Alligator mississippiensis: one gene and its partner. The protein of the gene in region 1 purifies or fractionates together with the protein of each later gene. This does not show direct contact. Links are inferred from orthologs where the notes say so. Each region holds a gene or a part of one and is shown on either strand. Other genes may lie near its edges.

Region 1 (12,640 bases):
CTCCAGGATAATTCCCTGCCCAACCTGCTTCTAAACCTGAGGAACCTGTCTGGGTGGTGGCTTTTGCTACCTCTTGCTTTCTTTTGCCTGAGCCCAGGCATGGGAAGAGTGACAAGCCCCATCTATCACTGGGGACAAGGTTTTATCTGCTGAGATCAAACCTTGGTCCTATTCTAGCTTCTAGCACCAGAAAGTTCAAGTCCTCTGACATTATCTGAGATACCTGTAGCTTTTTCACTGGATACTATTGCCACAGTCAGGGCTGCCCCGGGCCCGGTACTTTGAGGGGGCCCCACGGAGCTGGGCGGAGAGGCTGCAGCCCTCCCGCAGGGCCTGCTTGGAGCTGGCGGCTCAGCCCTGTGCCACGGAAGAAGCATGGAGACCCCCCACTTTGCGGGCGTACCAGGGCACCATGCAGTGTTAAGGGGACCCCGCACAGGCTGATTTGCCGTGGGCCCCACACCCCGATAGGGTCGGCTGCGGCCACATGCTCTGATAGCTTCCAATCAGGCTAAATAAAGGAGCGATCAAATGCCCCTCCAGTGAGTGCTTTGGATGGTGGCTTCTACTGGGACACCACCCAAAGCACTAACCAGCATGCTCTGAGTAGAGTAGGTTTATGGATTTCCCTTGGAGATTGATGGTGATCAAGTTAATGTGTGGAGAAATAATAACAATAACAACAGTCATCATTATAAGAATTTTAATTAGAGTAATAATAATACAGAGAGTTTTAAAGGGTCACCCTTTGGTTTGTTCTGGGGGTTTCACTCCCCCCCCCAGCTATAACATCAGAATCCTCCTGCTTTCTCAGGGATCTGTAGACAGGCTGGACAAGACATGGTTTCTGCCCCTGCCTCTCTGTTCAGCAGACCATTGGCCCCTGGTTGTAAGGCCTAAAGCTTCTCAGGACATCTTACCATCCCAATAAGCCTCTTCCCATCCCATAAAAATGCTCCCAAAGGCCCAGTGCCCCATTCAAGTCTGTGCTTACCTCCTGGCGCCCCCTGGGGATCACCCATGTCCACTGCAGTCACCTTCTTCCCTACTAGTTGGACTCAAGTCCTTCTGGATGCTGTGGGGTGTTTCCTAACCCCTGGGGCTCAGCCAACTTGTAAGGCTTCATGCAACAATGTAGAGCACTGAAGGCTGGTGGATATCCCCATGTTAAAAATGGTGACCCCCCCTCCGGACTCTCCCCATCTCTTTCCAGCATCCATGGCTGAGAACGAAGGGTTCAGCCCTGCCAGGTACCCTGCATGCCCATCACCCCCCAAACCTCCCGGGGCAACTTCCAGTCTCCCACAGGGCATAGAGCGGAAGGGGCATCATTGTGCCTCTGATGGCTGCAGGCTATGCACTCTGCCCCCCAGTTGTGTTCCTACACACCAGGTGCTTTGTGGAGCCTGCTGATAGCTCAGACAACAGACCCCTTCTTTCCCAGTGGGTCTGTGCTGCCTGGTAGGGTCAGACTTCACACACCACAGTATTGTCAAAGACAGACAGATGGACAGACAGCTATAGATGGATGTAGTATATGAGGATATATATGAAGTGGGTAAGGGGATGGATTGATGGATGGAGAGAGAGAGAGACAGACAGAGGGGGTATATATGGATGGATGGATGGATGGATGGATGGATGGATGGATAGGGTCTATGAGGATAGGGTTAATGGATGGATGAACAGATGGAAGGGTGAATAGGTAAATAAACAGATAGGGTGTATGGATGGATGGATAGGTATGAAGGCAGACAGATAGCTAGGATGTACTGGGCAGGCTGGAGCTGGGGGTATCCAGCCCTGAGGCACTGCCAGTGCCTGTGGGAACTTCTATGTCCCCAAACCCCTTGGGCAGAAACCCATGGGTGCAGGCAGGCTTGGTGCTGGCCATGGAGCTGGAGCCCTGCTGAGTTGTGCAAAAGGAAGCAAGTGATACCACAGGAAGTCTGTGACACAGATATCAGGCAGCCTGGGCCAGTGCGGGCAGTGATTGCAGGGGAACTGATGTCAGGGCGGGCTCCCCACTGGCGTCATGGCCACAGATGCTGGCAGCTCCTGGGGGCTTCCTTTGCAGCCTGGAAAGTGGGAAACTCCGTGCTGATGGAAGCTGGTTCCCTGCCTCTTGCCTGATGCAGGGCTGTGATTGGGCTTGAAACTAGGACTACACTCAAGCCCAGGGCTGACATTGGGAGAATATCCCACCCAGAGCTTTGGCTTTGAGTGCTGACATAGAGGTGATACTGAGATTATAAAGAAGGTATCTAGGTCATCAAGAAGGTTCTGAGGTCATCAAGGCAGTGCTGAGGGCATCAAGCCAGCATCCTGGTGCCCATGGCACTGCCAGGCCAGGCAAAACCTGGCAGCAGCCTCAGTGCCCTGCTGGCACCTCTCTCAGTGCCCCACAGCCTGCTGCCCATCTCCTTATGGGTCCTGCCCCATGCCCAGGTCTTAATCCCTGCAGGGTGGCTGTAGCTCACGGGGACGTAGCATCATGCCAGTGGACCAGGCCATGCCTTCTCTATTGGCGTTCACAGTCACCCTTCCCAGAGCTTTTTAACTGCTTTTCTCCAGCCACAGATCAGTCCCAAAGATGGCATTCCAGCTTCTCTGGGTTGGGTGATTCTTGGCTCTGAAGAACCAGAAGCCCCTTGACGTGTCCAAAGGCATCCAGCTTCCTCGCAGCCAGAGGAAAGGAAAGAAAAGACCAGATGGCAAGTGGAAGAGCAGGGTTTGTGGGAATCAGATGGAACCAGAGGGCCAGTGGGGGTCGCAGGGGTTATGTCTAGTCCACGAAGGATTGTCTCCAGTTTATTCCTGCTGATATGTCACCCCAGAGGAGCTTTTGGATAGGCACCCACTGGTGTTGCCATCAGCATGAAACCTTCCAGGCAAGCATGGCGGAAGCCTCTGTGAAAACAAGCAACTCGTTTAGTCCCCCAACCAACTCCAGGTTCTGCTTAATAGCTCCCTTCAGCCCCCACTTGGACTGAGAAAAGCCTGGCATTGATGCCCCTCCTGACCCCTTTATTCCCTTGCTGGACCTGGAAGCAGAGTCAGCTGAACCCACACACCCATTTTAGCCTCTGACTAAGGCTGGGGGCTCTGATATGTATGTGGAGTTACAGCATTCACATACCACCGGGCATAGAGCCACAGGGCCTGGACACACTTAGCCCCATTTAAATCCAGTTGAAACCCACAGAAGACAACTGTACACACCTGTTGTACTGGTTTAAAGCCACCTGGGATGGTTCAACCATGTGGCCAGGAAACCCAGGGCTACTTCCATCCAGTGCGGTTATAGGTAGATACCAAGCCTTCTGCAACAGATCTGGTCGGGCCTCCAAGCATCCCACACTGCATTCTTGCCCCCCCTCGCTGCTGCCATTGGCCGCTCTGGTACACAGCCAGAATTCTACTGCTCCTTGTTTCCCCCCACTACTTTCATTAGCAATTTTTATCGCTCTTTACCTGGCTTGGTCAATCCAGGTGAACTTCGTAATGAACAGCTGTGTCCTCATTCCCCACCTGACTGCAGCCAAACATCTGCCCCTACCAGCCCTTGGGAACCCAAAGAGGTGGGTCCAAGACCTCTCCTTCCCCCAAACCAGCAAATGTGCCCCAGATTGCAGGCTCTTGATTGAACTTCTCTATAGGCGATAAGGGAAAGCAGAGCTAACAATCCCCCAGCCACAGATTACCCACTCCTGAAACCCCCAGAGGATAGGTGCAAGCCCTTGCTCCCCCTAGAAGCCATGTCCCCAGGAGCAGGGCAAAGGGTAATGAGGGAAGGGATGGGTCCTGGAGGATGAAAAGCGCTGCAGGGTGCTTGGATCATAGCTAGGAGGGAAATGCACAGCTCAACTGGGTGATGGTTTCTACCCTGCCCAGGCAGGCCGCTCCCATGCCCATGCCCATCTGCTGGGCCTGGTACCAATGCAAAGGAGCCATAGGAAAGCTGCTTTCCTTGTTCTCTCATCACACCCAGCCTGGGGAACTCCCAGCTTTCTGACTTCCTTCCTCAGAGAGTTTCTGGCACTGGGCACTTCCCATCTCAGCCCCTGCCCCAGGGGCAGGGAAGGCACTGGGCACTGTCCCCAAGGGTGCCGAGCTGTGCAAGGCGGTAGGTGGATGGATCCTGATGGCTCACAGGTGCAGGGGGATCTTAGACTCCCAGCTCCTCCTAACACCGCAGACCAGCCCCATGCACAAGCTGGGAGCCTCTGGCACAGGGAACGAGGGCTGGCTGGGGGGGTTCATTGCCCACTGCTGCAGTGGAAAGCAGCCCCTCCACCTTCTCCCGCCTGTCTAAGCAGAGGATGTGGGGATCCTTTCCTGATCCTCACTGCAGCTCAAATCTGGTGAACAATGCCTAGCATCTGAAATCTTACCTACATTCAGTAACCATCAGAAAGGGAGGATGAAGAAGGGAACTACAAATAATACAGGAAGTATCCTGTTGCCTGGTGCCTGCACCTCGAGAAGGAGACAGAAGAATTAGAGAAGGTGCAGAGAAGGGCAACATGGATGATAACTGAAATGGAGGGGCTTCCCTATGAGATGAGTGTATGGAGGCTAGTGTGAGAGAGACGGAGAGTGAGAGAGGGTGTGTGGGGTGGATAGACGGATAGATAAATAGTGTGGGTTGGATAGAAAGACGGATAGATTGTGTGGGGTGAATAAATGGATAGAAGGACAGATAGTGTGGGCTGGGTAGACAGATAGATGGATAGATAGAGTGTGGGGTGGGTGGATGGATGGGCAGGCCTATTCAGTTTGGAAAAGAGACACTTGAGGGGGGCAGGATCAGGGTTTCCAAAAAACTAAATGGCAAAAAGAAAATCAATAGGGATTTATTACTGACTGTCTCTTCCCAAACAAGACCGAGGGGTCACAACATGAAAGGCACAGGTCATTGGTTTAGAACAGACATCAGGCAGTTCTTTCTCCCCCAGCGGGTCATTCAAGGGTGAGACTTGTTGCCAGCAGATATGGGGGAAGCTGAGAGTCCAGCCAGATTCATGGAGGGATTGGAGTTGTTCATGGCAGAAAGCACGGCAGTGAGATGCATGGCCTCTGAACTGGAGCTTCACAGATCCTAACTGCTGGAGGCTGCATATGAGAGAGGAACAAACCCTGCTCAGACCCAGCGGTCTCCCTTCTAGCCTTCGCTCTCTGCCGCCCCGTGACGCAGGAGTTTGAGCAGGATGGACTGAGGGTCTTCTCTGCAGTCCCTGGCAGCTCTGATGTCCTTAACTCTACCCCAATGTGTGGTAGAGATCCCTCGAAGACATCCCTGCCCCTCAGCACTGAGAAACCGAGCGCCAGAGATCAGGATGAGGCCTCCGTGGGCCACCAAACCTCAAAAAGGAAGTTCCAGTTCTGGTGATTTGGGATGAAGCCAAAGCCTCCCTGGCTGGATTTTCTACCCCTCCCTCAATAAAACCTCCCTTCCTTTCTCCCCAGACCTGGCCTCAACGGGTTAGTCCCACTGAAAGGGACCCCCACAGTGACTCCTGCCCCTCCTGGTGTAGGAGCTGGGGGCAGGGACACAGCAGCAGCAGTCAGGGGTTTGGAGTCCCCTGGGGCAGAGGCGACAGAGCCCTGCTATCAGGGGCGGGGGTTGCAGGAATGTGGGAATGAGCCTGGGGGGCTCTGAGATTCCCCAGCAACAGCTGCTTCTCTCCCATCTAGGGGACACAGGCCGGGACATAGTGTCCCCTGCCCAGACTCTGCTCTTGCCTCACTTGCCATCTCCTCTGCGCTGGGCAGCATTAAGGATAATGAGTGGCTTGTCCGGTGACATCACTCTGAGTGGCTATGACATCACAGCCCCTCTGTCACCGAAGGGGTCATGTGAGACCCCACCTCCTTAACAGGGGTTAAGGTGACATCTGTCTGTAGCTCCAGGTTGGGGGACTGAGGTGCCAAGGTGGGAGCCCAGCCTCCTCTCCACACCGCATGGGGAAACTGAGGCAGGACGACATTCAGCAGGATCAAGAGGAAGGGTCCACGCGCCACAACAGACTCCCGCCACGAAGGCAATATCCAGGCCCCACCCCTCCCGCGCTAGCTCCCTCCACTTACTGCCTGGCCACGCCCCTTAGTCTCCCCGCCCATTGGCAGCTGGACGCCTGCCAGTCACGCTGTGGGCGGGGCAGTACGTAGGGGGCGGGGCAAGCCAGCGTGTAGGGGGTGGGGCCAGGGCGGTGACGCACAGCGTGTAGAGCCGTGGCCTACGCGGTGACGCAAAGATAAGGGCGGGGCCTGGGCGGTGACGCGAGGCGCAAAGGGCGGGGCCTGGGCGGTGACGGAGGCGTAGGGCGGCCGCGCGGGCGGTAGTTGTCGCTGACCGGGCGCTTCTGTCAGAGTGGAGCTACGAGGGGGACGCGTGTGACGCCAGGTACTGTAGCGGCGGGGCGCGGCGTGGCGCGGTGCGGGGACCCGCGGCGGCCGCATGTGCACCCCTTCCATCCCTCCGTCCCCGGCTTCGACTTGCCCTTGTCCGGGCACCGCCTGGGAGCGGGGGAGTGGACCGGGGCTGGCGCGCCGAGCGACAGCCTCTCAGGCCAATGGGGAGCCGGCGCGGCGCACTTCTGCCTGTTCACTGGTTGCCCCGTTTGGCGGGCTGCGGGGGTTGGACGCCGGCGCCTGGGGGCGGGGCCGACCCAGGATCACCCAGCCGCGCCCGCCTGCTGGCCTCCTGGGTTCCCTGCCCATCCCCCACACCCCGCTCTCCCGGGTCCCTCCTCCCTACCCACACATTCCCCCACCCCTGCATGGGCTGGGGGGGGAAGATGTCAGCCTCCTAGGTTCCCTAACCCCTCCCGCATTGTCCCCCGTGGGGCATCCCCCACATTCCCGGTTTCCCTGGCCCCCCCCTGCAGCTCCCCAGGCAGGCAGACAGGGCTGCTGCTGTACTGGGCCCCCTGGCCCTGGGCAGACCTTGGTGCTCTCAGCTGTGGGGCAGGACAGCAAGTGTCCCTGGTCATGGAGCCTGGGGGGGAGTTGGCAGAGTCCAGCCCCCTGCTCTGTGCAGCATGTGCCTGCCAGACCCTCCCAGTCGAGTGTTTGCTGCTCCTGCTCTTGGACACTTCCAGGGACAGAGACTTGGGAGGCCTTGGGCAGCCTGCACGTCCCTTCTCGATGCCAGCCTTAGTCTCCCCTGCTGCAGTTGAGGCTGTTTGCTCCCCGTCCTGTCCCCATACCCGTCCATCCTCTGTCATTGCCCTCAGGGGGCTCGAGGGCTGGGATCCAATCCCCCTCCCCCCCCCCCCCCCCCCCCCCAGGCTTCTCTTAACTTGACTTGATTACCCCAGCTCTTCCAGCCCATCCTTATCAGTCCTGTGTCCTGGGCCCCTGATCTTTTCTGTTGCCCTGTGTTGGACTCTTTCCTGCCTGTCCACCTCCTCCATAATGTGCAGGGCTCAGAACTGGCCACAGGACTCCAGGCAAGGCCTCCCCACCCTGGGACTGCTTTCACCCCTGTTCTTGTGAGTAAAGCTGGGGGATTTAGTCTCACCATGGGTGTCGAGATCCCCAGTGCTGGATGGAGCTGTCTGAGCTTGATTGCACTGAGGAAGAACCTGTGCTCTTTCCCCCAGGCTGGACCCCACAGACAAGCCCTTAGGGAGCTCCCTTCTGTGCCCTAGCTTTAGTATCAGTCCCAGCTGGTGCTCTCTTGGTCTCTGTAGACTTTATTTAGTTCATCTATAAGGTGTGTCTTTACTCTGGCTTCAGACTAGCAGGATTAACCACCTCTCGGGGTTTAGCTCTGCCCTTGATGGAGCTGCCTGGCTGGGACCTATGCTTCATGTCAGCACTGTGTGACCTCCCAGGAATGTGTCATTCCCTGCCTGGCACCTCTGAGGCAGGCTGGGAGAAGGGTGTTTCAAAGGCAAAGCAAGGAAGTTGCCAGTCCAGCCCTTCTGGGCATCTGCTGTTATGGCAACAGTTGTTGGTGCCTTGTTCTTCCCTATCCCTTGCTCTCCTGCTGGTAGGGAGTCCATGCTACAGCGTTGAGGGTACTCTGGTGTGCACTGCGATCCTATCAGGGGTGCCATGCTAGCCCTGTGAGGTGTGCAGGCATGAGCTCCCCCTCCCTTGTCTTTCCTGTTCTGATCTCTCTTCTGCACTGCTGCTTGTAGGTCCTTTCCCAGCAATTGGTGAAAAGAGCTTAGGCTCACGACAGCTTGTTGTGTGTAATGTACACATGCATTCACATGTACACACACGTATGCGCACACACTACATATGTCCTTACTCTGTGTATGTGATCTACATAGTTACTGTGCCAGGCATTCTTCAGGATGCGTGTGGCCAGATGTAACATTTATCACAGCTGAGGAGGTCATCCGGTGGGTAAAGCAAGACCTTATCACACTGTAACTCAGTCTTTGTAGTACTTTTATATAACCCTGGATGAGACCGGGATAACCCAAGAACTTTGGAGCAGGGATGGCATATAGATATGGCCCACAAGCCCAGTCCAGCCTGCTGGATTTATGTGGTGCCATGCAATTCCTAAAGAGCTGCCATAGCCTCGGTCAGACCCTAAGTCCATTTTGTCTAGTCTTCTGTGTCGTACGGTGGCAGAGAGTAGATGTCAAAAGGGGTAGTGACCTGGGTATGACCAGAAGTTTTTCCATTCCTTCTCTCACTTGCAGCCTTCAGCATTTAGGGTCTAGGAGGCTGTGCTACTCACTCTTGTACTTGTTGGCTACTGATGCCACTTTTTCCCCCAAGCATATGTCCAATCTCTTGGTGAATCTGGCCAATCTCTCAGCTTCTCCCACATCTGATGGTAATGAGTCCCACTCTTGAATGACCCGCTTGGTGAAGAACTGCCTTGTATTGGTTTTGAAATGAGCAGGCTGTCGGTTTATGTTGTGACCTCATACTTGACTGGTGAGATGGTCAATAAGAAATCCCTATTGACTTTCTTTGCCACTTAGCATTTTGTTAAACCCTGATCCTGCCTCCCCCGGGAGCTTCTCTTGTCTAAACTGAGCAGACTTAGCCTTATTAGTCTGTCCTCAAAATGAAGCCCTTCCACAAAAGGATTTTTATCTGGCCTGGTGTGAGGAAGTGGTGTTGAGGGGGAGCCATAGGTGGTTAGGATTGTCTGGGATGGCAGCATGTGGCATGGAGAGCTGGCAGCCTCACCCAGCTTGGTGGGAACTGTGGTGGGGCTGGGAAGTTAAGATCTGGCTCAAGGTTCCCAAGTCAGGCTGTCAGATACTTGGCAGGAAGTGGGCAAGGACTGCCATGGCATTGGAGAGTCTGACGTGGCACTGACAACCTGGCAGGGACTTGGCAGCATCCTATCTACCTGGGCATCAGGACAGCCCTGTTCGTTCCAACCAGGCCAGGGCGTGCGGAAGCTTTTTGCCTTGGAACAGAAATGTGCTAATCCAGCCTGTGGCCTGGAAGCTACTCCATGAAAACTTTAGGCTCTTTAAACTCTTGACCTTGGGGTTGTTTCTGGATCTTGCCTTTTGGATGCTAGAAGGTACCATGGCTTCAGCCTCTTAAATCTTTCCTGGGACTTGGACAGCAGCATACAAAACCTCGGCACCAAGGCAAACCTAACCAGGCCTCTGCTGTGTCTCTTTCTCAGTGTTTTCTGCATGCACCTGTTCCAGGTTGGCTGTTTTCAGACTTGAAATGAGCTGGGAAGGGCTGGAGAAATCAGTTCCATCAGTGATCAAATTGATCGAAGGCAGAAAATCCAGAAAGGCACATGGACCTTCGTGTTTTTTTTGTTTTTTTTTTACAAGCGCATCTTTATAATCCAGTGGTCATCTGATAGCTCAGGGTATGCTGAAGCCTCTGCTGGTTTGATGGCTGTCTTAACACCTGAAAAATCATTAAGACCAAGGCACTTAACACTTTTTTTCAAATCCCCTGCTCCCCTCCCCCCAGTAATTAGATTCTGTTTGTGGGAAACTTTAGAAACTTGTTTAGATTCTACGCACAGAAAGTTTTATATTATAGTGAGGTACTCTTGAGTCCATTCTTCTCACCATTGCAGGGGGACAGGTATTTGGGGGCAGGTGATGTGTGGAGGTCAAGCAGCTTGCTCCCTGCTTGGGTCTGCCCCTCTTCTCCTCCTCTAGCCTCTGCTTCCCCTAACTCCAGCCTTTGCTCCCCATTTTACCCCACCTTCTTACTCTTACTTTATGAAGTAGGCTCCATTCCCCTTCTAGCCAGGAACACTGAACACAGTCCCAGCCCAGCCGTGTAGCAGCCTGCATAGCTGGTACAGGAGCTGGGTTGGGACCATGTTCAGTTCCCCAGGCTGCATTGTATACAGAGCGTGTCACTTTTAAATTCAGGGTAGTGTCTTGGATTTCCGTAAATACGGCATTTCCTATCATAATCTACCAACCCCTGCTCTTGATTGCTAAGTGACCCTGACTCAGAACCTGAGTTGCCTGACCCTGCACTGCCCTCGTACTTGATTCTAAGATGAGGGGCTTCTTCCCTGTGTTAAACAGGGAGGGAACGTTGTCTTGGAATGGAGTAAATATGGTACTTGGCACTTAGGACCCCCCTCCCCCCCCATCTGTGAAGCTAGCAAGCTGGTGTTTTAATACTGCTGAAGTTATTTCCTGTTTCCCTGTCTTCAGAAGGTCACTGTGCAGTCACTGCCTCTCATCTCCTTCAGCTGAGGGCTTTTTTAAATGAACTGCTCTATGGCAGGGGCTGGTTGCTCTAAGCCTGGCTGCCTGTCTCTCTGCAGCCAGGCCCTTCACTTTTACACTGTCACTGAGCTCCTGCTCAGTGCTTTGAGGGGATGCACTTCACTTGTGGACTGGATTTCCAGTGTTGCCTACGGCTAATAAAGCAAGCTGAGGCCCAAAGGCCACGGTTACAAATGTATTGTAATTTCGTGCACATAATGCACTCCCAAATATAATACGCAACCTGTTTTTGATAGTTTAAAGGGGGGAAGAAAAATTCTTATGTTGTGGTATGGGTAAGTAATTTATCTGGCTAGTTGGGGCTAGGGTTGTACACTGCTTTGATCTGAGGCATGGGGCCATGTCATCCAGCTGGGAGGTTCCCTAGGGGTCTGGAAGCAGTGGCAGAACTAAGTGCCACAGCTCCCAGAGCCTCTGCAGTGGATACTGTCATCACTACCCTGCTGCCAAATTTCAGGGCCATATTTCTCATGTATAACGTGCACCTCAATCTCCAGCTGGTTGGCGGGCGGGGGGGGGAATGGGACAGGGTGCATGTTGTATGCAAGACAATATGGTATCCTTTGGTAGGTCACCATGGAAGAAAATGCAAACAGACGATTGATCAGGGCAAAAAATACCTGACATTTGCAGTGGATTAGGTAGCTTCCAAGAGAGAACAGAGCTATAAGCCTCAGGAAAGTTTCTCCACCCGAGACAGCTTGTTAGGGTCCACCTTTCATTAGAGACATGTCTAATTAACCTGGCAATCAGATGGGGAGAAATTGCAGGTCTGCCCTTATCTTGGATTGGGTAGAGGGCCAGCCAGTATCTGTGACCTGGGTTTTGTGTCTGTGTACAGCATGGTGGGAATCGCTGGCAGCTTCCCTCTGCTTGGGTTGGCCATGAGACAATTGACATGTTTCTTTGCGGGGAAGACTGGCTCTGAGGTCTTGTCCTGGGTGGTCAGAGGAAGGGGAAAATAGGATTTTCTAGCAACACCCTTTTTTTCTCAGCATCTGTTGAGCTGACTGAGAGAGGCAATAAAAACCTGTGCCTGCTGTACTGCTCACCCTTAACTTTCAGTATTCAAATAACAGCTGGTAGGCTTTTAATTTGCTTTACTTTGGGAGCTGATGGACTCTTCTTTATGCAGTGGAGCTGCTTTTAGATGCATGGGAATGTAACAGCATAGACCCCAGGGAGGGTGAAAAGCTGGAGAGAGCATCCAGGAAGGGCAACAGATAGCTCTAATTCAGGGGCTGGTAATTATTTTGGGTAGAGGGCCACTTACCCAGTTTTGGCAAGCTGTTGAGGGTTGCATGGGGTGCTCTGCCCCTTGATGGGTGCCCTGCCCCCTGATCACCATCTTGGCACCAGTGTCCCAGGGTCAGCACTAGTGGGGCCCAGAGTGGGGCGCAGGCTGGCAGGAGTCTGGAGCCAGGCTGGGCTGCACCAGCAAAGAGAGGGGGGAGCTGGCCTGGCTCCATAGAGCCGCTGCCGGCTGGGACCCCTGTACCCCTGCTCTGGGCCCAGGACGCTGGTGCTGGCCTCAGGACACCAGTCAGGGCCCTGTGCTCCCACTCCTGCTCACTCCCAGTGCCCGCTGGCCCTGCGGTATGGGTGGGAGGGCTGTGTGCAGCCCCAACACCCTGCTCCCTGGCAGGCAACCAGTTGGTACGGAGCGCGGGGAAAAGCAACCCCTCACCTGCCCTGTGGCCAGTGCTCCCTGCTGCAGCCACTTGCAGCCTGGATGGGGCTGTCCGTAGCAGGCACAGACAGCCCCAGGCGGGCTGCGAATGGCTGCAGCGTGGGGTGCCGGCCATGGGGCGGGTGAGGGGCCACTTTTCCCCATGCTCTGCACCAGCTTGTAGCCCGCCCCTGCTGCCAGCCTAGGCCCCGCGTGGCTCTGGGCTAGCCTGTCGGGGCTGTGCTGCAGTGGCAGCAGCTGT
Region 2 (12,221 bases), on another chromosome or scaffold:
TATTCTATACAGGCATTATTCTGTACACCTCCATCATGTCCCATCTTATTTATCTCATCTCTACATTAAACGCCCCCATCATTTCCATGTCTCCGCACAGAAGTCTGATTCTGTCCCCTTGTTGTTTTGTTAGACATCTTCTGCTTCCATTCTATGCTTTTGGGATATGGTACTCCAAAACAGCACAGTGTCCTAGGAGGGGGAAAGCGCCTGATTTAGATCCAATTGTTTATGCAGACTAAAAGCTATTTGCTTTTGTTACCTGGCACTACAAAGTGAACAAGGATTTTACTGAGCTATCTGCAATGGCACCTTGGCCTTTTTCCCTATGTGTTGACAGTTCATTTAGAATTCACCGATGTGTGTAATTCCGCTGCGTCATTCCTTCCAAAGTGCAACACTGCCTTTGTCAGAAGTCAGTTTTATCTGCCTTCCTGCTACCTGGTCACCTGCCTTTAAAAGGCTGCTCTGTAATTTTTCAGATTCCTCGAGTCTTGAGGAACCTGTGGTAAAAAAATGTGTATCACCTACAAATGATGACACTTCTCTGCCTTCCCTCTACCTCACATCATTAATAAATGCATCAGCCATTCTAATATATTATTTTGGGAGTCCCTTTGCCATGCTACAAACTGATCATTTATCTGTACTCTTTGTTTTCTGTCTCCAAGCTGGTTTCTAAGCAATCCATGAAAATACTCTACTTTTCACTCTCTTACTATATTGTTTTCCTGTCAGCCTCCTGTGAGGGACTTTGTCAAAGGTTGTTTTTTTTAAAGTCTGAGTAAATGACACCACCACATTCTCTTACCCTTCCCCCCAGGCTGACCTGCACTATTTTTCCAATACTCTGAAAGTAGGCTATTGATTGGAAAGGTTTTACAGAAGCTCTGGTTGTTTGTCCCCATAATGTGATCATGTAGATCTATAATCTGTTCTCATTTCAGTTAGTTTGCCTGGATGGAAGTGAGACTCTCTGATCTGTATTTCCCAGGATGTCCACTTTCACCCTTTATATAGATAGGATTAGCCCCAGTGACATAACATTCTTCTGGGGTAGCAGCTAGTTTTAATGGAGATGTATATAATGCCTATTTCAGCCATTTCATTTTGAAGCTCTGGATGGCACTAGGAACCTGCTCTTTAACATATTTGGTGTTTCCTTTTGGCACTTGGCTCTCTCAGAATGCCTCATCTTTTTCATGAGAAAAGTGAAGCTGAAGGATTTCTCCAGATTAAAGCTTTAGACACCAAGGTGATAAACTCCTCCTAGTTGCAGCAGGTAGATGTGGGCTTGTCTATGAACTTTAAGCTTTGACCAACAATGCCAGCTTTTCCTGGGTACCCAAGTTGCTCTTGCTCCCCAGATATTCAGATGGACTGAAACAAAGGGCTTGATTTCAGTCCATTTTTCTTCCTCCTGGAAGGCTCCTCAAACTACATTGTGTTCCTCTGGAAGGGAGAAGGTGTTCTTAATTGAAGTAGTCACCTTTTACTTGCTGGATCCATGAATAGATGGGGCAGGGCTGTGTTCTGAGCCCACTTTGCATCCCAGGAGCACTGGCTTGGGGGGAAGGGGGATTGGGTGTTTGCTGAGTGGTCTGAAAGGGCCCTTTTTAGCTGGGATCCTTTGTTTCTTTCCGTCTTTCTAGAGCCACAAAGCCTGCCCTCATTTCACTCTGTGATTAAACAGCTCTGTGAATCTGCACCCTGCCCCTTATAGGTAAATGGAACCAAAAATTCCTTCAGAGCTGCATTGTAGGGATGAATCCAGGGGCTGGCAAATCCCTATGTTTAAAAGGCAAGATGAGAACTTTCAGCCCCCTCTACGGCAGCTGTTGGTGCAGCATGCACCACATCTGATCTTAGAGACAGGATGTGCTCTGTGCCCCACCCTGCTTGACAGACAGAGGCACTTGCAGTTAATGCACACCCTCCTTGACATGCTGCTTCTTAGTAGAGAATGCTGCTTCTTCAGAGCCCAGGATAACTTTTGCATCCATGAGCTCCCCTGACTGATGCAATGGATGGCCTCATCAGCTCTGCTTATCAAGGCAGCCTCAGGTACCAGGGGATAAGTGCAATGCTGTGTAAGGAGTAAAGAGTAATAGTCTCAGGCCAGTGCCCCTAGCTCCTATAAGGTGTACAGCAATGTGTTAGCGGTCACTTCTGCCCCTGTCAGTTTATGGCAATAGAGATCTTCTCATGTGAGCTCTCAGGTACCATCTCATTGAGCCCTCAGCTCCTTTGCCAGATGTATTAGTGAATGTTGTAAAAGACCTGATCCATGCTGAGCGTTACTAGCAGTTATCATCAGTGGCCTCCTCAGAACCATTAAAAAGGAGCCAGGGTTCTTTTACAAGAAGAAAGAGACAAACAAACAGAATGAGACTCCTCAGAAATCTGCAAGCTAACCTTCTCTGAGAACAGACTCTCCAGAGCCAGACTCCCCCAAACCCTGACATCCTGACTTCCCCCAAAATCTCAGAATTGTTTTTCTCAAACAGACATTCCCCATAAACTTCTCCAGCCTAATCCTCCTCAGAAAAACCAGGTTCTGCAAAACCTTGCTATCAAGAGATCCCCCCGACTTCTAGATTTCCCAGTTTCCAGTGAACAGCCAGAGCAGGCCTGGTGCCCCACAGAGACGGCAAGGTTCTTTGGGTAGATGTGATATCTTTTATTAGACCAACTCAGTAGATGGGGAAAAGTTCTTTGCAAGCTTTTGGGTGCAATCACCCCTCTTCAGGCATAGGAAGTCTCTGCTGTTCTGAGACTCCAGGGAATGTTTCTTTCATTCCTTGGAGTTTCAGAACAGCAGAGACTTCCTCTGCTTGAAGAATAGCAATTGTGCCTGAAAGCTTGCAAAGAACTTTTTCCCCTCAGCTACTCAGTTGGTCTAATAAAAGATATCACATCTACCCAAAGAGCCTTGCCTGCCTATGTCCTTAGACCAACCCGGCTACAACCAAAAACCCAGCCACAAAGACGGTGCACTTACCTTAGCTACAGCAGGAATGCAGCTGTCCGCAGAGTACCTTGTGTTCCCAGGGTTTTTTGGAGAGAAAGTGCTGAGTGGGAAGGGGCACTGAAGCAGTCACGCTGGCATTGAAGACTCTATCTGAGCTCAGTCCCTACTAGAATGGGGTGGGGAAGCCAGTAGCAGCCAACCAGCTTCAAGGTACTTCTGAATATGCAGATGGAGAAGGGTCAGGTTCAGTAATAGGGATCAGGGCACCTTCCATTCTGCTGCTGGGATGCTCAGATACACAGACCACTCAACAAGCTCAGAGGGTCTGTAAATGGCAACACTGCTAACCACGCAGGGTTGTGTGTACCGATAGAATAATTTTGCGTATAACCTTCTGGGTTCTATCTTGTTGCACATCAGGAGAGAAGTTTTTGGGGGGAGGAATAATTTTCATATTCCATGTCAAATTAGCCAAATCAGTTCCAAATCCTCTTGACTGAGCAACTCTCAATCATTTGAACACTATATGTGGTGCTACAACTGACAAGTATCCTCCACCCCCGACTTTTCAGCCTCGGGCTTCAGATACTCCTAAATCCATTGATGGGCATCCTATGTACAGGCCCAAGCCCAGAAGCTTGGGGTTTGGATGCCACAGAGTCCCACTTGTCCTTAACCAAATAGCACAGAAGCAAGCTAGAGAGGAGTCCCCCATTTCCATAAAGTAGGTGTGCAGCCAAGATCCTCCCACTGGAAGCTGGCCAGCAGGAATCTATTTACAAGACTCTTGTAGGGCATCCTGTCCACAGTGCATTGAACAGGCATGCACCCTCCATTACACAATGCCATTTAAATCCATGTTGGTTTGGGTAACTAACCAGTGCAGCGACTACACTTGATCTTAGCCCACAAGAGGTTGAGAAGCAATCAGGAGAGAGATGCGTTGGCTGGGATGTGTTAGGGGTGGTGAGGATTGGAACAGCAGGACGTAAGGCAGAACTGACTTGTAGGAGACTGTGAAGCTGGGCAGGGGAAGTGAGTTAATGCCAAATGGTAAAGGACCGCAGTTACTGTAAAGCAGGGCCCAGTAGCACTTTGTTCTATTCAGGACTTGGAATCTGAACCTAGTCTGGAAATGTACTGTCCCACCATCCATGATGGATCCACCAGTGCTAGAAGCAAGTAGGGCCTCTTTGCAGCTAGTAAAAATGGTGCTGGAAGGGGAAGCTGAAGGATACAGACATTGTAGACAGCCCCAAAGCAGTGGTTTTCAAACAGAGGGGCTCAGTTTAATAAGAGTCACAATTTTGTTTGAGCCCCCCTCCACCCCAACCCAGACAAAAACAGACATGCAAAATATGCTTTCATAAACTTAACAAACACAACTTAACTTACTTAATTAAATTACCTACACCTGTAGGTTTCTAGTTCACAGATTGAAATTGATATTCACAGATATTATACTTAACGACTTTAGCCGTTTCAGCTTCTGCCTTCCGTTTCGTAACAGTATCTTTTGGCAATAAGTACCGATCCAGTTTCACCTCAATAGTATGAAAATATCGAACTCACCGGCAGAATAAGTTGCACTGCAAAATGCTTGTTGTGATTTTTTTGTCTTGTAAGAGTAGATATGATAGGTGTACTAAACTGGAAGGTGGGAAATGTTGCTATGGAAATGATCACTGGTTTAATTAAATGCATTGTAACACCTGTGAAATCAGTTGCAAAAAGTTCACTCATACTATTTCAGTGTGTGATGTTGTCAAATATAATACTAATAATGATGATAATAATTTTTAAAAGTAAAATATGCCTTGCACATGGTGCCCCCCACATTCCTTTGCGCCCCCCCTCCCCGCCCCCAGACAGCATGCCCCCCAGTTTAAAAACCGCCGCCTTAAGGAACACAGCATAGGTTACCAGTGGTTTCTAATGTGTTGATGATGAAGGTTTCTTTTCTTCACTGCAGCTAGATCTTTGAGGTGTATGTGCAGTATTGCTAACTCTCATGATTTTTGCCAGTGTTCTTAAAGTATATGCTTTGGGAATGTGAAGAACTTAGCTTTCTTTTATATATAAAAGCTCTTTCTTTTATATATGTGTGTGTGTGTATATATATATATATATATATATATACACACACATACACACACACACACACAATATATATATATATATATATATATATATATATATATAATATAAAAGAAGGAGCTAAGTTTTTCACATTCCCATAGCGTAGACTTTAAGAATGACAAAAATCATGAGAGGTGGCAACACTGTATGACACACCTAGAAAAGGAACATCATCTAAATAATAATACTTAGTATTGTATGTTTTCAGATGTAAACTCTAGCCATTAGAGTAGGGGCGGGCAATTATTTTGGGCGGAGGGACACTTACTGAGTTTTGGCAAGCCATCGAGGGCTGCATGTCAGGCAGCCAGGGGCAGATAAATATTAATTTTCTAAATTTTTTAGGGGCCCTGCGGGCTGGATAGAACGACCTGGCAGGCCATATCTGGCCCGTGGGCCGCATTTTGCCCACCCCTGCATTAGAGCCAGCTGTTCAGCATAGCTGATAGGTAAGTGTTCTCCCCTCAGCACTGGACAAGTCCCTAATATATAAACTGTGAGAAATAATCTGCCTGACCAGAGGAACAGACTCCAAAGAGTAACCCAAGTCTCTCACATATCTCATTCAAAAAAGCCTGTTGGATTTGTTACCTGCTACCTGCTGAACAGTTTGAACAAGGAGCCAGACAAAATACAATGGCTCATGCAGTTTTATTTGAGCTCAACTGAATTAAATCTCTCAGTAAAACTCTTATCTCATTCATTTGTATCCAGGTACTTTACAATTGCTATGATATGCATTCTTCCTACTAGGCAGCAGTCTTCGATTCAAGGCAGCTGGTTTCTATTTGTTGTGCTCAAGGAGAGCAGCATACTAGAGATGCACTGCTCCAAAAGCTGTATCAGTTCCATTTGTTTTTATTCCTTTTTAGTTCTTTTTTACACACCAAACAGGTTTCAAAGGTTCCACCTCCTCCTTTTGCTTTCTTCTCCCTTTCCTGTACTCCTTCCTCGAGGAAATTCTTTACAAAACGACATTAAGTTAGTAGTGCCATTACACCATTGAGCACTTAAAAAAAGTAGGAAATGCTCAAGATAACGCAGCACCCAGTTCTAACTCTTGTTCCCTTCTGCAGATGCCTAATTCTAATACAGCCCTTTATGATGTGAACAGAGGCTCTGTCTCAACTCATGCAACATCATGTACACTGAAAGCAACAGGGCATCTCACAGCGTAGCCTGCACAGGAGCACAGCATTCAGCCAGAGCCATGGTCAGGTGAGAGAATCCCACCCTTCCCTCTGCATAAAGGTGGGAGCTTGCTGCACATTTCTTTTCCCTCTGCAGCTGTGTGGAGGGCCTGCCCTGTGGCCTGGTGGCGTCCCAGTGTCCGTCACAGCCACGCTGGAACTCCAGCCTCATGGCGGGAACATCGCTGGGGTGAGCTAGCCCTAGGGCAGTGTTGGCAGGTGGGAGCCAAGCGTTGCTAGCTCCCTGGAGGCAGCCTGCTGGGGGAACCCAGGCACTAGTGCTCTAGGGAGGGGCGTGGGACCCCCAGTCTCTGGCTACAGCCCCAGATCTGGGAGCCAGGACTCAGGGGCCTCCTGTCCACTGGGAAGCCAGGGCACAGCCTGGCTAGGGAGTGCAGCCTCCTGCCCTGTGCTGCCAGATCTCCACATCACCTCTGCTGGTGTCTGCACTGCCACCACTGCTGCCAGGCCCATCCCTGCTCACCCTGGGCTCCCCAGCTCCCGTGGGCAGCATCAAGCTCCTCAAGTCAGGTGCCCATGGGCTAATTCACAACCTGCCCCTGCCCTGCATGGCTGAAGGTTGCCTGGGGCAGGGACCGGCAGCCAGTACCAAGACGCCTGGCGGGGGAGAGGGAGCGCAAGCCAGATAACATCAAGGCCCCCCTGTCCTGCTCAGAGTGGTCCAGTCCTCAGCAGGCCCACCGGGGCTCGCAGCCGCCCTTCAAGGTGGTTGAGTCCTCTTTCTCCTCCTCCCGGTGGTTTTGTCCCGTCAGGACGTTTCGGTTTCTCACCCTCCCCCATGTTTGGTACGACCCTCCCGGCTCCCCCTGCGCTGAAGGGTGCTTGGTTCGGTCCGCTCCGTTTCCGGCCTGCCCGGGGCCTGTTTCCGGTGTTCGCCTTCACGTCGCCGCCGCCGCCGCGATGTTGCCGCTGCTGTCCCGGTCCCGCTGTCTGAGCCGGGCGCTCAATGCCCTGCGGCAGGTACGGGCGGGACGAGCCGAGCCGAGCCAAGCCACGCCACGGCACGGCACGGCACGGCACGGCATAGTCCTGTCAAGGGCACTGGGGTGGGGGCGGTGCCGCCACCAGAGACCCTCGGGTGGGCGGGAGGGACACAGCGCCCCGCCCCACCTCGCAAGGGCTCCTGCCGCCCTGGCACGTAGCGCTTCCCCGTAGCGGGGGGCAGGAGGGCCGGGACTGGGACTGGGCCTGAGGACGGGAGGAGCCGCCCGGGCGGCCGGGGCCGGGTCGGGGTCCTGAGGCCTGGTCGCGGCCTCGCCGCACCTGTGTTGGTAGCCGGCAGCGGGTCGGGTTGTCCGCCGGGTCCGTGTTCAGCACAACGCGGCTGCGCTGGGCACTGGCGCGACACGAGGAGCCGCAGCGCGCGCTCGGGCGTTGGACCGGCCTCGGCTTGTGCGGCCTGGCCCGGCACCGGGTTGGAAGAACAGGCGGGAGCTAGAAGGGGCCGGAGGCAGCGGAGCCGGGTGGGCAGGGGAAGCTCCTGCTGCACCTCCGCCCAGAAAAAAGTTGTGTTTAAAGTTTTCCCGGCCTGGAGCAGTGCAAAGGCTAGTTCTCGTTGTACTGGACTCACTCCCTGCTGCACTGCCAGCTGCGCTGGCAGCTGCTGGAGCAGCAGCATCCTGTTTCTCAAGATTTTTAGAGCTAGTTGATCTTGACCTGTCAATTACTTGGTGCCCACAGCTTGGCAAAGGGGCTGTTTTACTGTCTGCTCATCTCCCAACATTTTTTTTCCAATTCAAAACGAGCTAGTCCTTGAATTGACTTTGCTTGGGAACGAAAGCATTCTCTGCACCTGCAGAAGCAGCTCTTGCTGTCAAACTGGTTTATTTAACAGACTCCACCTCCACCTGCTTCAGCAGTGATTTCCACCCAGTCCTTGGTTTCTTGGTGCAACTTCAGTAGTCGCCATGTGCTATTCAGATGTTTTAAGCAACTTAAATTCTTTTAATAGATAAACATAAGTGTAGGCCTTAATATGTGGGTGGTCACAACTTGCAAAATTAATTTCAGACAGGCTTATATTTTAAAAATATTAAAATCAAAGAGTTTCTTAAGTATCTTTTTATTGGTATGCACCCTTCAGAGTGGTGGGTAGGACCCCAGGTAGAGAAGTGAAAACCAGAAGAACAAGCATAAAGTATTTTTACTGTACATAAAATGAGACTGTAAGTCAGTTGATTACATGCAGGGAGATGCATTGGGCTAGGAAGATAATTTTGGTTGTCATGTTGAATATAACAGAATGGGAAGAGACAGGCAGGTAGGGAGTTCAAGGAGAGGTGGTCACAGATAGGGTGACCATGATAATTTTATGGACAGGGTAAGGAAGTCTGGGATAGGGGGTGTAACCCCCCCCCCCCCACTTCAGCCTCAAGGCTCCCAGGAGCAGGGCTGGGCAGGATGGTGTGGAAGCCCACCTTTGGCCTTTATCCCCTTCTTGCAGAGGCTGGACCCAGCTGGGGGCACCCCCTGGGCTCCATAAGCCCATGCTGCGCAGCTGCACAATGCCTCCCAGCAGGCTGGGGCTGCAATCCCAGGACAGAGCCCAGAGCCATCCCCCCGCCCCCCAAACATGGGTCCCCAGCAGCCGGGAGGGCAGAGGGACCCCTCAGAAGCCCCCGCCTTCACCTGGAAGGCTGCTCCCTAGTCCTGAATCCATTGAGCTGCAAGCCATGAGTCTTTTGCCAAGTAGAGTCGGTCAGAAGCTGGGCACATGCGGGTGGGTTCACACCAGTCTGGGAGTTTTGCTTCAGTTTTCTCTAGAGAGCCCAGCCAGTGAGCTGCTCCGTAGTCTGAACTCTGCTGGGCTGTGAGCAGTCTTTTGCTCAATCAATAATCAATCAGGAGCTGGGCACATGCAAGCAGGTTCCTGCCAATCTAGGACTTTCACTTCAATTTTCTCCAACCCAGGACAACCTATGAAATCTGGGACTGTCCCAACCAATCCAGGATGTATGGTAACCCTAGTCATAGAGGTCTAGACAAGAGAATTGGAACATGGATGATGAGTTTTGAGAGTGGGGAAGAAGTATGATAAGTGAGGATATTTCTGGAGGTGGTTGAGAAAGAAATACCGGGATGTGAAAACAGGTCAAGCATGTGAACTTCAGAGTTGTGGCTTTGGGCAGCTGGGAGGGTAGCAAAGTCAGCAGGAATGGAGAAAGGGGGAAGCTTGGGTTTTGACACTCGCATGGTCAAGAGGTAGCGGGGCAGGCGCTACGAAGATTGGCTAAAGGGCCTGAACCTATTCAGCCTCCACAGGAGAAGGCTGAGGGGGGATCTGGTGGCTGTTTACAAACTCACCAGGGGGGACCAGTGGAAACTGGGGGAGGCTCTGTTCCCCCAGGCACTACTGGGGGTTACTAGGAATAACAGCCACAAATTGCTAGAGCAAATTGTTCAGGCTGGACATCAGGAGACATTACTTTACAGTTAGGGCTGCCAGGATCTGGAATGGACTCCCAGGTGAGGTAGTGCTCTGTCCTACCTTGGAGGTCTTCAAGAGGAGGCTGGACAGATATTTGGCTGGGGTGATGTGATCCTGGCACCCGTTCCTGCCCAGGGCAGGGGTTTGGACCTGATGATCTGTTTAGGTCCCTTCCAACCCTAAATACTATGATACTATGATGCTATGACATATATGAAGAAGAGAATTAAAACTCAAGAACTCTGTCCTGGAGGAAGAGAGTTGTGAGTCATCAAACTAGGAATCATGGGAGAGCATCAGTGGTGAGTGTGTGGGCAGAAGAGGACAGGACTGACATTTGCGATTTGGACTAGGAGAGGCAACCACTGAGGAAGTGGTTGCACAGGTAGGACTTCAGAAGTCTGCAGACAAGATGCTCTTCAAAAGGGGCATGTAGTTGACAGCAGGAGGATGACAGTGAGGCCTTTGGATTTCACTAGGCAGGGAAAAGTTAATGTATAATTTGTTTAGTGAGTGGAAGCAATCAAAGGGAGCTAAGGATGTTACCATGCTAGCAAACTAACAGTGTTCTCTATCTCTTTGGCTCTACTGCCTCAGTCCTATCTGACTCCTGTCTTTTTTTCCTACCCAATGTTACATATAAAAAACAGGCTGTACAAACCAATGAGGTGTATGAATACACTGAGTCTCTTGTGCAGCAGTGGGTTATTCAGGACCTGGCTATCAATGCAGTGACTTCTGTTCTAAGCAGTCCAAAGTCTGGCCCTTCCCACAGGGCTGATTTGCCCTAGTGTTCCTTCACCCTATCACTACCCCATCATGTCAGTGCCTATGATGTCCAGCCCTTAGATTATCTGCATCACTTGTTGACTGCAAAACTAATTTACATGCTGAATGTTTCTCTTCTCTCAATCTTCTTATTCAAACTGCCCCATGTTTCCAACAAAGCCTTGACTGGAATGATCTAGTTGGGATGGTCCTGCTTTGAGCACGGGGTTGGACTAGATGAGATGACCACCTGAGGTCCCTTCCGACCCTAATTTTCTATAATTCTATGTTTCTAGGGTTGAAGTAGAAATTCGCAAATGATGACAGTATGCCCATGCCCACCTCAGGAGTTATGTCTCCATAGAGAATGATTTCAAACGTGCTTCAAGGAGTGACAGTTCCCAAGCAGGTAGAGATTGGAGGCTGTGCATTAGGGTCACTTTGACCTTGGGCTGGTTCCAGCATGTTTGAACACTCTTGAGAAATCATGGGAGGCAGGGGGAGGAGTAGTAGGTTGATAATGAACTCTAGGGAGGTATTGGTCAATTTTTGTCAGTTGCTACTTTTTCCATGTTAAGGATGGTTCTTAAAGTATGCTCATGTTGGCATACTGGACCTGAAACTGCTGCTGCTGTTGCTGCTTCTTCAGCCTGTGAAGGTCCTTAACCACACCACTTCCTGAGGTTTAATGCCAGATGTCCCCAGGAAGAGATGTGGTCATAAGCAGATATGCTCTGTAAGTGGGATGTTTGCCATCTCCTCTACCAAGGCTATGTATATGAGTGCCATTTCCTGCATGCTAAAAATAAACTGGGAAGGGCTAGTAATATGTTTAGAGACCCTCACCATCTTATTTGTGCCTTCCTCTACTGTGTGACTACGTAGGAGAGCTTTCTCTTCTACCTTCCTCTCATGTAAGGCTTTAGTTTCTCAACCCTGGGGTTGTCTGACTACATGAAACAGTCTCTTGGTATGCCAGCTCTTAGATTTATAGCACTCCACAGAGACTGTGCTCCCATAGGAAGTGCTTTTTCTGTGGGTTTATTTTTCCCCAGACGTTCATTATTAGTTGGCTTCCCAGAGTGAGCCACATCCTAGCAGTGCGGGGGCTCCACAAACAAACATATCAGCCTGTTTTCCTTCCAGAAACTAGTACAGCATATCCTGTTTCCCCAGCAAGATGATGTCTGGTATGCTAGGATTTCCCCTGCCTCTTTACAAAGTACCCTAAAAAAAGCATCAGAAGGCTAAGTGAAATTAGCTCCCTACTGTACAATTGAATGAATAGCTAAAGAACCAGAGGACATGTGGCTGTAAATCATTTGGGAGTTTTAGTGCCCAAAAGGCGCAGTCAGTAGAGCTCCAGAACCCTAAATTGAGTTTCCTTGTGTTCCTCCAGTTTTTCACAAAGTCAAATGTTTTGTGTACATTCCATATTCTAAATAGTGTGTCCCTGCACTGTCTTTAGCATCATCCCTAACAGTTCCCTTTGTCTGATGTACATGAATTTTCAGAAGCACATACACAATGTGTTTCACAAATAAGTCCAAGATACCAGCTACAGCTGAGCTCTTAGTTCTGGCTGAAAGTGAAGGCAAGTTGTATATACAGGCTCTTTCCTCAGAAGTTGAGATTTAACCAAAGTAGGATTGTTTTTTCTTCCTGTATTGACTCGTGTACAGTGATACTTTGAATTGCCAAATAA

The links.
Region 2: the proteins of OGDH (region 1) and DLST fractionate together in Homo sapiens (co-fractionation; 3 studies listed by BioGRID). This does not show direct contact. The link is inferred for Alligator mississippiensis from reciprocal best matches to the Homo sapiens genes OGDH and DLST.

The regions. Positions count from the first base shown.
Region 1 is NC_081830.1:10,099,133-10,111,772, reverse strand, and holds the start of OGDH (2-oxoglutarate dehydrogenase complex component E1), read left to right. Parts: upstream 1-6,294; 5' UTR 6,295-6,406; intron 6,407-12,640. Other genes in the region: interleukin-36 receptor antagonist protein, read right to left, coding at 995-1,022. UniProt on the Homo sapiens protein: 2-oxoglutarate dehydrogenase (E1o) component of the 2-oxoglutarate dehydrogenase complex (OGDHC). Participates in the first step, rate limiting for the overall conversion of 2-oxoglutarate to succinyl-CoA and CO(2) catalyzed by the whole OGDHC.
Region 2 is NC_081825.1:261,149,672-261,161,892, forward strand, and holds the start of DLST (dihydrolipoyllysine-residue succinyltransferase component of 2-oxoglutarate dehydrogenase complex, mitochondrial), read left to right. Parts: upstream 1-7,198; 5' UTR 7,199-7,221; coding exon 7,222-7,281; intron 7,282-10,812; exon of another isoform or gene 10,813-10,883; coding exon of another isoform or gene 10,884-10,925; intron 10,926-12,221. UniProt on the Homo sapiens protein: Dihydrolipoamide succinyltransferase (E2) component of the 2-oxoglutarate dehydrogenase complex. The 2-oxoglutarate dehydrogenase complex catalyzes the overall conversion of 2-oxoglutarate to succinyl-CoA and CO(2).